Linked DNA regions of Macaca mulatta. Each later gene encodes a partner of the first gene's protein in a complex. Links are inferred from orthologs where the notes say so. Each region holds a gene or a part of one and is shown in the gene's direction. Other genes may lie near its edges.

Region 1 (3,500 bases):
GCAGGCAAATCACATCACCTTCCTCTGGCTTGATTTCCTTATTTGTAACATGAAGAGATTGGACAAGATATTTAAGGTCCCTTCCACTCCAAAGTTTCATGACTCATTTTTCTATCACATGAAAGTGTTATATGTGGCCTTGTCACATATATCATTTTAACATAAACATTCAATTTGTTGATATAAAGCACTGAGAATTTCTCACAGATATAATTTTGTTTATATGAAAATAAGTTTCTTCCTAACAACAATAGTATTCTAATTCAGATCAAGATTGCCTTTCCTTTTTTTTTTTTTTAATGAAAAAGACTATTTCTGCCACCCAGGCTGGGGTGCAGTGGTGCAATCTTGTCTCTTTGCAAACTCTACCTCCTGGGTTCAAGTGATCCTCATGCCTCAGCCTCCCAAGTAGCTGGGATTACAGGCACCACCACTATGCCTGGCTAATTTTTGTATTTTTAGTAGAGACAGAGTTTCACTATGTTGGCCAGCCTGGCTTGGAACTCCTGACCTCAGATGATCTGCCCGCCTCAGCCTCCCAAAGTGCTGGGATTACAGGTGTAAGCCACAGTGCCTGGCCTAAGATTGCCTTTCTTCTGTTGCTGTGTATACATTTTCAACTGTATCTTCCTTTAGCTGTCTTTGAAAAATGGTGAATTACCAACAACATGGTGCCCCCCCATGGTGGACGAATCAAGACTTAGTAAAATTACATGTCACTCAGTTAAAAAAAAAAAAAGGCTGGCTGGACACGGTGGCTCATGCCTGTAATCCCAGCACTGTGGGGGGCTGAGGCGGGCGGATTGTGAGATCAAGAGATTGAGACCATCCTGGCCAATATGGTGAAACCCTGTCTCTACTAAAAATACAAAAATTAGCCAGGCGTGGTGGCACACACCTGTAGTCCCAGCTACTTGGGTGGCTGAGGCAGGAGAATTGCTTGAACCTGGGAAGCGGATGTTGCAGTGAGCTGAGATCACACCACTGCACTCCAGCCTGGTGACAGAGCGAGACTCTGTCTAAAAAAAAATAATAATGGGTAAAGCACTTTGAGTAGACATTTTTCCAAAAAGGACATACAAATGGCTGATAAACATGTGAAAGGATGCTCATCATCACTATTAGGGGAAGAGAAATCAAAACCAAAGCAAGATAATACCTCACACCGTTTAGGATGGATACTATCAAAAACAAAACACAATAGAAAATAAGCATTGTTGAAGGAACCTTTGTGTGTTGTTGATGAAATATATAAAATGGTGCAGCCACTATGCAAAACAGTATGGTGATGCTTCAAAAAAATTTTAAAAAAGATTACCATATAATTCAACAATCCCACTTCTGGGTATATCCACAAAATAATTGAAAGCAGGATCTCAAAGAGATACATGCACACCCATGTTCATAGCAACACTGTTCACAGTAGCCAAGAGGTGGACACAACCCAGGTGCCCATCATTGTGTGAATGAATAAACAGAATGTGGTGCCTCCACATAATGGAATATATTCAACTTTAAAAAAGAAGGAAATTATGACATGTTATATAGATGAACCTTGAAGACATTATGCTAAGTGAAATAAACCAGTCACAAAAAGACAAATACTGTTTGATTTCACATATATGAGGTATCTAGAGTGCTCAAATTCATTCAAACAGAAAGTAAACTGGAAGTTACCAGGGACTGGAGGGTGAGTGAGATGAGGTGTTATTGTGTAATAGGTATAGAGTTTCAGTTTTTTAAGATGAAAAAGTTCTAGAGATTGGTTAGATAACAATGTGACTATAGTTAATACTACTAAGCTGTACACTTAAAAATGGCCAAAGCCTGGGATATGGCGAAACCCTATTGCTACAAAAAATACAAAAATTAGCCAGGCATGATAGCGTGTGCCTATAGTCCCAGCAATTCAGAAGGCTGAGGCAGGAGAATCACTTGAGCCTGGGAGGTCAAGGCTGCAGTGACCCATGATCATGCCACTGCCCTCCAGCCTGGGTGACAGAGTGAGACCCTCTCTCAAAAAAATTATAATGAAAATAAAATAAACAAAAATAGTTAAGATGGTAAACTTTGGTTTTTTGTCACCTTTTTTTTAAGTCAAAATTATCTCAGAATCAAGGGCCTATTAAACACTTAAATTTGCTTTCCCCTAGTTCTCTTCTCCATGCAAGGATGGAAAACCAGAGGAATAGAGGTGGAGTCTATGCAAAGTTTGCACCTCCTGTGCAGGAACGTTTTTTTCCACCCGGTGGAAACCGTGCGTTAATCATCACTGGTTCTTGGTTGGTATGTATCATTAGTGTATCTGTGCCTTTAACTCAGAAGAAAGAAGTTCTTTTGGGGCCACTTTTAGATGTTTTCACATGTTAACTGCCAACCTAAAAGTCTCTTAGCCTATACATGAAAGTGCGATTTTTCCAAGTTTAAGACTTAATAGTATATGATATATGAAAGGATGTATACCAAAGAGGTCAAAGTGTTTATCTTGGTTTATTAATTAATGGGTATTTTCCATTTTCTTCTTTATAGATTGTTGGATTTTCTAAATTTTTGTTGCATATATATTTTATAAGCTGGATGTGGTAGCATGCGCCTGTAGTCCTAGCTACTCCGGAGGCTGAAACAGGAGGGTGGTTTGAGCTTAGGTGTTCAAGGCTGCAGCATGCAATGATCACACTTGTGAATGAATAGCCACTGCACTTCAACCCAGGCTACACAGCAAGACACCATCTCCATTAAAAAAAAAAAAAAAAATATATATATATATATATATATATAGCCAAGCACGGTGGCTCACGCCTGTACTCCCAGCACTTTGGGAGGCCAAGGTGGGCAGATCACAAGGTCAGGAGATGGAGACCATCCTGGCCAACATGGTGAAGCCCTGTCTCTACTAAAATACAAAAAAAAAAAAAAAAAAAAAAAATTAGCCAGGCGTGGTGGCGCACACCTGTAGTCCCAGCTACTCGGGAGGCTGAGGCAGGGAAATCGCTTGAACCTGGGAGGTGGAGGTTACAGTGAGCCAAGATCGTGCCACTGCATTCCAGCCTGGCAACAGAGACTCCGTCTCAAAAAAATACATATATATATATGTGTGTGTGTGTGTGTATATATATGTATACACATACATATACATATTTTGATTATAAAATCAAATTTGTTTGTCAAATACAATCAGTGATATAACCCAAAAATTATCCTTCACATAATTTAAATCTTGGGAATGGTACTCCTGGGGTAAAACTAAAATGAATGTAACCTTTTCCCTCTCTGATTTCACAGAATGAAATTCTTCTCGAGAAAAAGACCAAGAGAAGTAAGATTCTGAAGCTGAAGTTCCCAAGAACGGAAGAAGAAAGACGGATGCGGACCCAAAGTAAAAGGAGGCTAGAAGCTAAGAAAGAGCAGCAGCAGAAAAACTTTGTGGACCTGGCCTGCGAGTGCAGCGCAGTCATCTGCTGCCGCGTCACCCCCAAGCAGAAGGCCATGGTGGTGGACCT
Region 2 (5,145 bases), on another chromosome or scaffold:
AAATACATCACAATCACTCAGCTCACTAGAACAAAACCAAAAAATGAAGGTAAAATGACCATTTATACAGAGTGCTGGAATAGCAAAATATTAAAAAATGATCAAATTTAGTGGGCATGATGATATAGGCAGAAATGGGGAGGAAAAACCTGCCTTATATGTACTTTTGCAATATGCCCATATTTTGGCATACATTTTTACTAACAGAACTTAGCAAAATAAAAGGATTCCATGACTTCTCCATTAACTGTGATAGATTGTTTCCTATTTGAGCCTGGGGTTGAAGGTAAACTTAACAGATCAAAACAAAATATAGACCTAAGTATGTCAGCAGTGCTAAGAATTTGAGCATGAATGTCATGTAAGAGCAAACCCAAGCAAGTCGGTTATTAGAGGGCAACAAGTATTGTATCACTCTAAACTCTGCCTAGTAAGTATGTGATTGGCTCACATTTTTTAGACTTGTGGTCATTTTGAAAAAAATTTAACTGTAAATTTTTTTTTTTTTTTTGAGATGGAGTTTCACTCTTGTTGACCAGGCTGGAGTGCAACGGGGGATCTCGGGCTCACTGCAACCTTCGCCTCCCGGGTTCAAGTGATTCTCCTGCCTCAGCCTCCCGAGTAGCTGGGATTACAGGCCCGGCCACCACACTCGGCTAATTTTGTATTTTTAGTAAAGACGGGCTTTCATCATGTTGGCCAGGCTAGTCTCGAACTCCTGACCTCAGGTGATCCACCCGCCTCGGCCTTCCAAAGTGTTGGGATTACAGGCGTGACCCACGGTGCCCGGCCTAACTGTAAATTATGAGGACCAAGCACTCCTTATTTTCTCTTTCCTCAGTTTAACTTATTTAAGGCATTACTGCAGACTAAGCCTAAAAGTAATTTATTTTCAAATGATGCGACTTACTCTCTGGCCTAGACTTCAAAGATGTCAGTATAATGTGGATTGTATATAATTGTTTAAATTTTACAAATAACATACGCCTATTATAGAAATTTTGGAAAATACAGAAAAGTGCAAAGAAACAGGAAAAAAAAATTCCTCCATCCGGTCAACAGAGTTACCATTATTCACTTTTTAGTTCCGCTCTATATTATACTTCTACAGTCGCTACACTACTCTAATATCCTGACTTAGTCACCTTTTACATCACGAGTATTTCCTTGGGTCATTAAATATCTGGCACTTTTAAAGTGTTTACGGGGTATCTTATTTTGTAGTAATGCTATATGTCCTGGTTTTTACAACAGTAAGAGAAAAAGCTACAGCCTATTACAAAACACTTCCTATATCAATGCGCAAAAGAGAAAGGTGGACATAGAAAAGGGGAAAAGTAACGTGAGAATCAGCAATAGAGAAAAAATAAGTGAGAATCGCTTAATTAGAGGCAAGATAATAGGGCTAAGTCACATTATTGATTCTTGACTTTAGGACAAAAGGGGTACATGTTACGCACCTGTGTTCCAAGTTTATAATTGCACCTTGAATAGCGATTTATTTAATTAAACTCGCGGTTTTACAACCTAAGCAAATACTGCTAATTCTCCCCCGACTCAATCCCCCTTGAGGCCGCCTTTTAAATGCTCCGACTCCCTTCAGAGAAACCCTCGAGGTAAAAAGAAAAACCTGTCTGGCAATCCGGACCTGCAGTCGCCACTATAACCAGAGTAGCAGGCAGGTGTGTGCTAACTAAAGCCACGGCCAACAGAGCAAATATACGCCTACAGCGCAGGCTCGGAATCCCCTAGCTCTAGGGCCGCGCATGCGCCAATGTAGCTTCGCGCTCGGGTGGCTGAGTCCGTCACAGGACAGATGATCAGGGTGCGTCCGCCTTTTCCTTCCCCCTTCTATCCTCCTCCCCTTTCCCCTCCCCTTGTCCCTCCTTCTTCTCCCTCCTCCCTCTCTCCCTCCCTCTGGCGTCTCCAGCCGACTTACGCTTCCTGTCCGCGGCCTTTGGCGGAAGAGTGTCCCGCCTCTTCCGCTCCACAGCGGAGGCGGCTGTGGCGGTGGCCCTGGTGGCGGCGGCGGCGGCAGCGGAGCTCGAGCGGTTCCTGTCAGGGTCAGCCGGCGGGCCCCCTGGGTGGTCCACCTGCAAGTGGCGGAGCGGTGCCCCGGGGATCGATGGCGATGAACTATAACGCGAAGGATGAAGTGGACGGTGGGCCCCCTTGTGCTCCGGGGGGCACCGCGAAGACTCGGAGACCGGATAACACGGCCTTCAAACAGCAACGGCTGCCAGCTTGGCAGCCCATCCTTACGGCTGGCACGGTGCTACCTATTTTCTTCATCATCGGCCTCATCTTCATTCCCATTGGCATTGGCATCTTTGTCACCTCCAACAACATCCGCGAGATCGAGGTGAGGGGAGGGAGCTGTGGTGGGAGTTGGCGTTGCTCGGGAGGACGGTCCTACGCGCCCGCCCCACTCCTTTCCCAGCGCCCTAAAGCCAGTTGACAGGCAGACCCCGCGCCGCCCCCCACCCCCTTCCCTCTGTTTTTTCTTTCTCTTTCTGCGGGTTTCCTGAATTTGCAGCTTTGTCCTAGCTTTGTCTTGCGGTTTACGAAAGAGCAAATCGACGGGATGAGCTGAGACGGAATGAATGTTTAATGCAGAAGATGGGTCAGGTGGAGAACGCTTCTTCAGTAGGCGGTTTGTGTGGTTCCATGGGGGATTAGCGGGGGTTGTTCACGGAGGTAAAAAGAGAAGTGGGGGCGGGGGCAATTGTAGCTAGGTAGATGCAACCCTGAGTGAATTGACAGGGTCAAAAGTGTCATTACCTTTGTGGGCGTTATCCGAAGACACAGAGATGAACACCTTGGCCATTGTTGGGAAAAGAACCAGAGTCGTAGAGGTATTGACGATTCTAATATAAAGAAGCTGTCGCATGTTATCAGGTCACGTATGAGGACTTACGACAAATGTGCATAGTACTTTTCATTTTGAGCTAATTCGATATTTTCAGTTGTGGGGCAAGATACACAGGAAAGATAACCTGAAACTTCAATTCTGGTTTTGCTTTTAGGCTACGTTTATTAATGGGCCCTACATTTGCTGGTCTTTTTTTTTTTTTTTTTTTTTTTTTTTTACAAAAAGAGCCAGTGACCACATTCAGGGAGTAAGTTGTCCACTGTCTACCAAACATTTTACTGATACTAACTTTGCTGAATATGTAAGACATGACAGGAAAACTTGGGGAAACATTTCTTTGTCAGAAGCACAGTATCTTTATCTGTAGGGGTGAAGATGGTTGATAGTACACTGTATTAATATATGCTGTATAGGTGTCCAGTATTAAGCATCTCTCATCTTTTCTTGCATATCTGAGAATGTTGTTGTTTTCTAAATCTATTTGAAAGGGCAGGAACTAGTAAGAAGTTCTCTTGATTCCTTCTGTTCTATTTATACACACACACACACATTTTAATAAATATACTTACCTATGTGATTTAATGGGACTTTGAGAGTAATTTTATTTTTAACTACTGAAATAGGGATGGGGTTCCACTTTAATTTGCAGTGTTCTCTCTAAAAGCAAGATTCATGTGTTTTGTAATTCTACAGTGCTTACTTCAGTGTTGACGACAGTAATGAGAATAGTATCTATAGCATAACTAGTTTTAAAATTTTTTACTAAAAATTTATTCTCAATTTAATAACTAAAGAGTTACAGTATTTTTTTCAGCATGTATTTTAGTTTGTTTTATCACCTTAATCTCCCTAATAATCCTGCAAATGTAGTACTTCTTGTTCTAACCATACTAGGATCACACATTATATTAGTATATGGGCAAAGTGGTGTCATGCAAGGAACATGGGCATTGGCTGGGGTCAGGCAGAGCTGGTTTTAAATTCTAGCTCAGCTACTAACCATCTCAGTTTCTTGGAAAATTTCCTTAATCTCTCTGAGCTTCAGTTTCCTGCAAAATAGGTAGAATAATTCATATCTTCTAAGGTGTGAGAATTAGAAGCAATGTAAATAAGATGTCTGGCAGTAGGGATCTGTCTCCTGATCCTTAATCAGGAGATGAGAAAGAGTTTGAGATTTGACAGTAAACTAGTTAAGAGTATTATAAAAAATGAGACAGAAACTCAGGTGTCTTGACTCCCAGCTTTAAGCTTTCACCCTACACTAAGATCCTTACTGCAATGTTAATAAAGTAGAAGAAAATAATTTAACATCTGAAATTTGAATGATTTTATTTAAACTTCTTAAGATAAGAGGAAAATAGCAATAATTTGGAATTGTGTATAAGTTAGTATTTTCAGAGCTCAACTTCCATTAATATTTACCATAGTAGAAAAATAAATGTTTAACTTTTCTTAAAATCTTTGGGTTTTGGAGTAAAATAAGGTTCCTCACACTAAGTAGTAGACAAAATAGAAATTTTTCAAATAGCTCTCATGTGTAATTCTGATTTCAAGTTGCCTGAAGAATCTGCTGCAGCTTAGCCTGGTTAAAAGGGCACTGAAGAGTCAGGGAATTAGGGTTGAAATCCCACCTCTGTCACTCTGTACTTTGTGATCTTAGGTATAATTTTGAGTCCAGTTTCTTTACTTGAAGAACCAAAAGATTCAGATTAAACTGCCTCTAAGAGGCTGTTCAACTCTAAAATTCTATGATATCCAATTCAAATGTGATTTTTAAAAAACTGGATGTGTTTAAATTGTATTGCCTTTGGAGCAAGAGGAAATGAAAACTAAGAATAATTTAGAATTTTTTACTGACAATGAACATACAGTTGTGCAGACAGAATCCACATATGTATTTTTAAAGTTTGGATGCTGGATATATAGAGAAATGCTTCTGAATTGTGTCTGGAGTTATTAGAAAAACCTACGGAGATTCCCCAAACACACATACTTGTTTCCTTCTTGTTCTCTACTCTGTTAGCCACTAGTTGTAATTGGGTAATGAGAAGTTCTTACCAACATTCACTCTCATACTGTAAGTTACTCACACTTTATTTTTTATTTGAGAAAATCTTCATTGCTATATTAGTTCAAATTACTAGGGCAAAGGAGACTTGTCAAATCCAAATGCTTTTGTAATATAGTTTAAAGTGCCAAAATCAAAAATTCAAACTTTTTCAAGTATAAAATCACTGGATTTTTCTCATTCCTGCAGAAATATTGCACTAAAA
Region 3 (4,907 bases), on another chromosome or scaffold:
TTGAGACAGGGTCTTGTTCTGTTGTCCAGGCTGGAGTACAGTGGTGCAATCAGAACTCACTGCAGCCTTGACATCCCTGGTTAAAGCGATCCTCCCACCTCAGCCTCTTGAGTAGCTGGGGCCTCAGGCACATGCCACCACACCCAGATCATTTTTTAAATTTCTTGTAGAGACAACATCTCCTTATATTGCCCAGGCTAGTCTCAAACTGCTGGGCTCAAGTGATCCTCCTGCCTTGGCCTCCCGAAGTGCTGGAATTATAGGCGAGCCACCATGCCCAGCAAGACCTCATCTCTAAAAAAAAAAAAAAAAAAGAGTGTCTTCCTATCTTGCTATCTACTTCCCCTTCCCTGCACCTGATGATAACTTGATTCCTGCCACACAAACCACCCAAAGTGCTCCCACAAAAGTCAAACCCCCTAGTTCCTTTTCATTTATCTCACTTGAACACTCAGCTGTGTTTAACTCTGTTGACCATTCCTTGTCTTTAAACATTCTCTTTTGACTTTGAAAATCTGTCACGGAATGAATAAACTAGTACCTTTAGGTCATCCAAGGATAGGAGAAAAGGAGGAAAGGCTCTGAGCTCAAGAATGGGGCTTGCACTTTTAGGGTGTGGTGGTGATCTACTAGAAAAAGACTTAAGATTTACCAGATAGGCTTGGTGTGATGGCTCACACCTATGATCCCAACAATTTGGGAAGCTGAGGCAGAAGGATCTCTTGGGCTCAAGAGTTTGAGACAAGCCTGGACAACTGAGGGAGACAACTCTCTCTCAAAAAAAAAAAAAAAAAAAAAAAAAAATCTACTAAAGTTGTGAAAACTGAATTCCTTCTAGAGGATAGTTGTCTGGACTAGTGATTCAATGATACAGGGGTGGGTGGAACTCAACCATAATGATACAAAGAACTATTTATTCTTTATTGAAAAAAATGGTGAATGGAGACTGAATCACACTATGGGAACTTGTTGAGAATTTTGGAACTTCCTCTCTTGGGGTATGATAAGAAGTGAGGGAATTGAAATTCAAGTCACTTGAATTTCCCTCAGTCTTCTCTAATACCTAAAGTTTCCAACTTGCATTCATTTAACAACATGGAATCAATGTTCCAGTATTAAAACAATATTACTTTTTAATTTTAGTGTGACTTATAGAGTGCAATTTGATACTTAATTACACCCTATGATAAATAGATATTATTGGCTATTTTGCTTCTTACTCCTAATATGTCCCCTATCAGACTGCAAATGCCTTGAGGTCAAAGGTCCTTTTTTGTCTAATTAGCATAGGACTGAATACCTGGAAGATGCTAACAAAATTCCTCTGTTCAATTTAATACGCATTTTAACTTTCCAAGTTTCAGTGGGTTTTGAATGACTTCTGAATACACTATATTATGCTAGGTGTAGTGTAATAGAGAAAACATTTGTATTACTTGCATTTTACAAGCTGGAGGAGAAGCAAGAACACAATACCTAGGGAAGATTTAGTAAGAAATCAGAATGTCCCAATACCCCCTTGGTATATGTTATACCAACCTAGATTTTTAAAAAAGCAAGCCAGAATCCCACACAACCTAGGGAGCTAATTTGAGTTCTTTTTATAATAAATCCTATACATTCTTGTAGTTCACCTCCTTAGGCCAGACACTCCAGATTTCTTTGTGGATAGCAGCTAGGTCTCCTGGGACCTTGGATTGGGCCTTTCTCTAGTCAGGCAAATAATCTGAAAAGAAAACAAAATCACATGTAGTCCAGCACATTTCTTCCTTTCTTGGTTTCTCCACCAGCTAGAGAGTTATTTAAAGGCTCTGAACCTCTCCAGCCTTTGATTCTTTTTAAGGATCATTTTATTTTTAGAGAACTTTCCACATTTCCTAGTTATACAGCCAGACTGGGTGATCTGGCCAGAAAATCATTTTCCCTTAAAAAAAAAAAAAAAAAAAAGCTAAAATTTGAACACAGGCGTTGAATTCGAAACAGATTTATCACAACGTAATTCCCCGGACACTCCCAACTTGAGACTGAAAGCTGGGCGAAAGGGTTTTCTGAAGCTAACCTAAAAGACAAAATGGTCTAGAGTCACCTTTTCCCCGCAAATAACAGGGGATTAACAACCTGAAATCTTCAAGCCTCCCGGACATGGTGCAAGCCCTCAGGAGAGGAGGCCGGAGCGCCTTTTGATTTCGGGAGACTGGCCCAGGAAATCCAGTCACTTGGAAGGCGAAAGAGAAGGTGGTACCTGAGCCAGGTATGAGCCACTCAGAGGCAGTCCGGGGCCGCCACTCACCTTGGAGAGGAGGAGCTGGAGTCCCATGACCCGGACTGAGAGGAAAGGCGAGACTGAGTCTACCAGGTGAGGTAAAAAACACCCACCTGCTCACCTCGGAAGGGGCGAGCGAGGTGCGGCTCCCGGTGACCCGCGACGGTGGAGCGCACCTGGGCGGAGGCGGAACTGGGGGGTGTGGGCACTGCTTGTAGGGCCTGGAACTAAACTCACCTGTGAGGGAGGCAGAGGCGGGGCCCGGGCAAAAACCCACCTGAGCCGGCTGGAAACCCGACCCGCCAGCAGTCCCCAGGCTCGCGCGGCGGGGCCCCCCTCGGTCAGCCCACGCGTCGGTCCCCGCACGGCCGCCATGACCTGGAGCGCCACGGCCCGGGGCGCCCACCAGCCCGACAACACCGCCTTCACGCAGCAGCGCCTCCCAGCCTGGCAGCCGCTGCTGTCGGCCAGCATCGCGCTGCCGCTCTTCTTCTGCGCGGGCCTGGCCTTCATTGGCCTGGGCCTGGGCCTCTACTACTCCTCCAACGGCATCAAGGAGCTGGAGTACGACTACACCGGCGACTCGGGCACCAGCAACTGCTCGGTGTGCGCCGAGGCTGGCCAGGGCCGCGCGCCGCCGCCCCCCTGCTCGTGCGCCTGGTCCTTCTCGCTGCCCGAGCTCTTCCAGGGCCCCGTGTACCTCTACTACGAGCTGACCAACTTCTACCAGAACAACCGGCGCTACGGCGTGTCCCGCGACGACGAGCAGCTGAGCGGGCTGCCCAGCGCGCTGCGCCACCCGGTCAACGAGTGCGCCCCCTACCAGCTCAGCGCGGCCGGCCTGCCCATCGCGCCCTGCGGCGCCATCGCCAACAGTCTCTTCAACGACTCCTTCTCGCTTTGGCACCAGCGCCTGCCAGGCGGGCTCTACGTCGAGGTGCCGCTCGACCGCTCCGGCATCGCCTGGTGGACCGACTACCACGTCAAGTTCCGCAACCCGCCGCTGGTCAACGGCAGCCTGGCGCTGGCCTTCCAGGGCACGGCGCCCCCGCCCAACTGGCGCCGGCCGGTCTACGAGCTCAGCCCCGACCCCAACAACACCGGTTTCATCAACCAGGACTTCGTGGTGTGGATGCGCACGGCGGCGCTGCCCACGTTCCGCAAGCTGTATGCGCGCATCCGCCAGGGCAACTATTCGGCCGGGCTGCCGCGGGGCGCCTACCGCGTCAACATCACCTACAACTACCCGGTGCGCGCGTTCGGCGGCCACAAGCTCCTCATCTTCAGCAGCATCTCGTGGATGGGTGGCAAGAACCCTTTCCTCGGCATCGCCTACCTGGTCGTCGGCTCCCTCTGCATCTTCACCGGCTTTGTCATGCTGATCGTCTACATTCGCTACCAGGACCAGGACGACGACGACGAGGAGTGATTCCAGCTTTCCAGGGATCCTTCCTGCTTCTTGCCAAAACTCTTCCGAGCTTCTTCTGGCATCTCCTCCTCGCCCCTGGCCCAATTCCAACCTCTCCTCGCTTTTCCTCCCTTTGTGAATGAGGGGATCAGAGAAGGGAATTACCCCCTTGCTCTTGGGGGGCTCGCTAGACTGTCTTGCCGCGGGGAGGGATGTTGACTGCAGAGTGAAACATCATTGCAAACTCTTCCCACCTCCTTCACGACACCGAGTTGCCATGTGAGGTTCTTCAAGTCTGAGAAGGGAAGGGATCCCTATGGAGACTCCTGTTCAACCCCTATCAGAGGAAGAGATTGAGAGACCTAGCAATGTGAAGTAACTAAGATCAGGCAGCTGCAAGTGACTCCTGACTCTTGAGTCTAGAGCTTTTGCCACTACAATACTGTGGTTTTCTTTTCTTTGGTGAGGGGAGTGGGTTGGAATGGAGAGTGAGGCCCACAAATTACCTGCAGAGATGTGGAAGCGTGAGGGAGAACATGCTTGTTAAATATGCAGGTAGATTAGGAGACACCAACCAGAGATTCAGTCACAGTAAGGCTGGGATGAGACCCTCGAAGCTGTGTTTTAACAAACTCCTCTGGAGAGTCCCATACTCCCTCAAATTTGGGAATCACGACCCTGAACCAGGTTGGGCCTGAAGCAGTCAACTGAGTTCACTTTTTTGGATAGTAATTTGTTCCCGGGGGCAGTGACAACCATGATGTTCCAGGTTTGGTCTGGCACTCTGCCTTGAACGTAGGAAGCTCTTGATGACTTGTGGAATGAATTTTTAAAAAATCACTATCTCGGGAAAACTAGTTGGCATACAGAGTTGTAGGACAGGGTTTATGTTATTCATTTAATATTTTAGTATTTTGGTATAAAAGCAAACAGGCAAACTTTGCCAGGTACTGTGTAGAAACTCGAAAATGTGAGGCCAGTTTGTACAGTTCAGAGGAAATGCTTTAACCTAGAATCAGACAGCTGGAAGAGATCTTCGAGGGAAAGTAAGTTCCCTAAAGTCACATCTATGTCTCCTAGCTCAATCTTCTTTATCATTTAGTGTGCGTGTGTGTGTTTAGAAAGGGCTTCATACCTTTTCCCTTGCATCTGGAAAAAAATTTATCTTTTCAAATGAAATCTGTTGATTCCTAGTAATCATATTTGAATCAGTGCTAAGGCATATATAGTCTTTTA

Evidence for each region. Proteins that work in one complex are often made in the same cells at the same time.
Region 2: the proteins of ATP8B1 (region 1) and TMEM30A are in contact, whole or in part, in a cryo-EM structure (PDB 7VGI), measured with the Homo sapiens proteins. The link is inferred for Macaca mulatta from reciprocal best matches to the Homo sapiens genes ATP8B1 and TMEM30A. Residues at the interface, in NP_001361314.1 of Homo sapiens: Thr138, His359, Trp362, Glu363, Val366, Ser369, Ser370, Trp371, Tyr372, Leu373, Tyr374, Asp375, Gly376, Arg384, Ile388, Phe418, Asn420, Trp421, Asp422, Leu423, Tyr426, Lys430, Asp431, Thr432, Pro433, His939, Trp942, Arg946, Tyr968, Phe971; in NP_060717.1 of Homo sapiens: Lys24, Thr25, Arg26, Arg27, Pro28, Asn30, Phe33, Lys34, Gln35, Gln36, Arg37, Leu38, Pro39, Ala40, Trp41, Gln42, Pro43, Ile44, Leu45, Thr46, Ala47, Val50, Phe54, Ile57, Phe61, Ile64, Ile68, Ile75, Phe119, Tyr121.
Region 3: the proteins of ATP8B1 (region 1) and TMEM30B are in contact, whole or in part, in a cryo-EM structure (PDB 7VGH), measured with the Homo sapiens proteins. The link is inferred for Macaca mulatta from reciprocal best matches to the Homo sapiens genes ATP8B1 and TMEM30B. Residues at the interface, in NP_001361314.1 of Homo sapiens: Trp362, Val366, Ser369, Ser370, Trp371, Tyr372, Leu373, Tyr374, Asp375, Gly376, Phe418, Trp421, Asp422, Leu423, Tyr426, Asp431, Pro433, His939, Trp942, Arg946, Tyr968, Phe971, Asn972, Gly973, Ser975, Ala976, Gln977, Leu1003, Gln1005, Phe1049; in NP_001017970.1 of Homo sapiens: Gly9, Ala10, His11, Gln12, Pro13, Asn15, Phe18, Thr19, Gln20, Gln21, Arg22, Leu23, Pro24, Ala25, Trp26, Gln27, Pro28, Leu30, Ser31, Ala32, Ala35, Leu38, Phe39, Phe46, Leu49, Leu53, Tyr109, Tyr111, Asn116, Phe117.

What each region holds. Positions count from the first base shown.
Region 1 is NC_133423.1:23,342,624-23,346,123, forward strand, and holds part of ATP8B1 (phospholipid-transporting ATPase IC), read left to right. Parts: intron 1-2,153; coding exon 2,154-2,286; intron 2,287-3,282; coding exon 3,283-3,500. UniProt on the Homo sapiens protein: Catalytic component of a P4-ATPase flippase complex which catalyzes the hydrolysis of ATP coupled to the transport of phospholipids, in particular phosphatidylcholines (PC), from the outer to the inner leaflet of the plasma membrane.
Region 2 is NC_133409.1:110,454,082-110,459,226, forward strand, and holds the start of TMEM30A (cell cycle control protein 50A), read left to right. Parts: upstream 1-2,008; 5' UTR 2,009-2,125; coding exon 2,126-2,362; intron 2,363-5,145. UniProt on the Homo sapiens protein: Accessory component of a P4-ATPase flippase complex which catalyzes the hydrolysis of ATP coupled to the transport of aminophospholipids from the outer to the inner leaflet of various membranes and ensures the maintenance of asymmetric distribution of phospholipids.
Region 3 is NC_133412.1:134,385,507-134,390,413, reverse strand, and holds the start of TMEM30B (cell cycle control protein 50B), read left to right. Parts: upstream 1-1,770; 5' UTR 1,771-2,636; coding exon 2,637-3,692; 3' UTR 3,693-4,907. UniProt on the Homo sapiens protein: Accessory component of a P4-ATPase flippase complex which catalyzes the hydrolysis of ATP coupled to the transport of aminophospholipids from the outer to the inner leaflet of various membranes and ensures the maintenance of asymmetric distribution of phospholipids.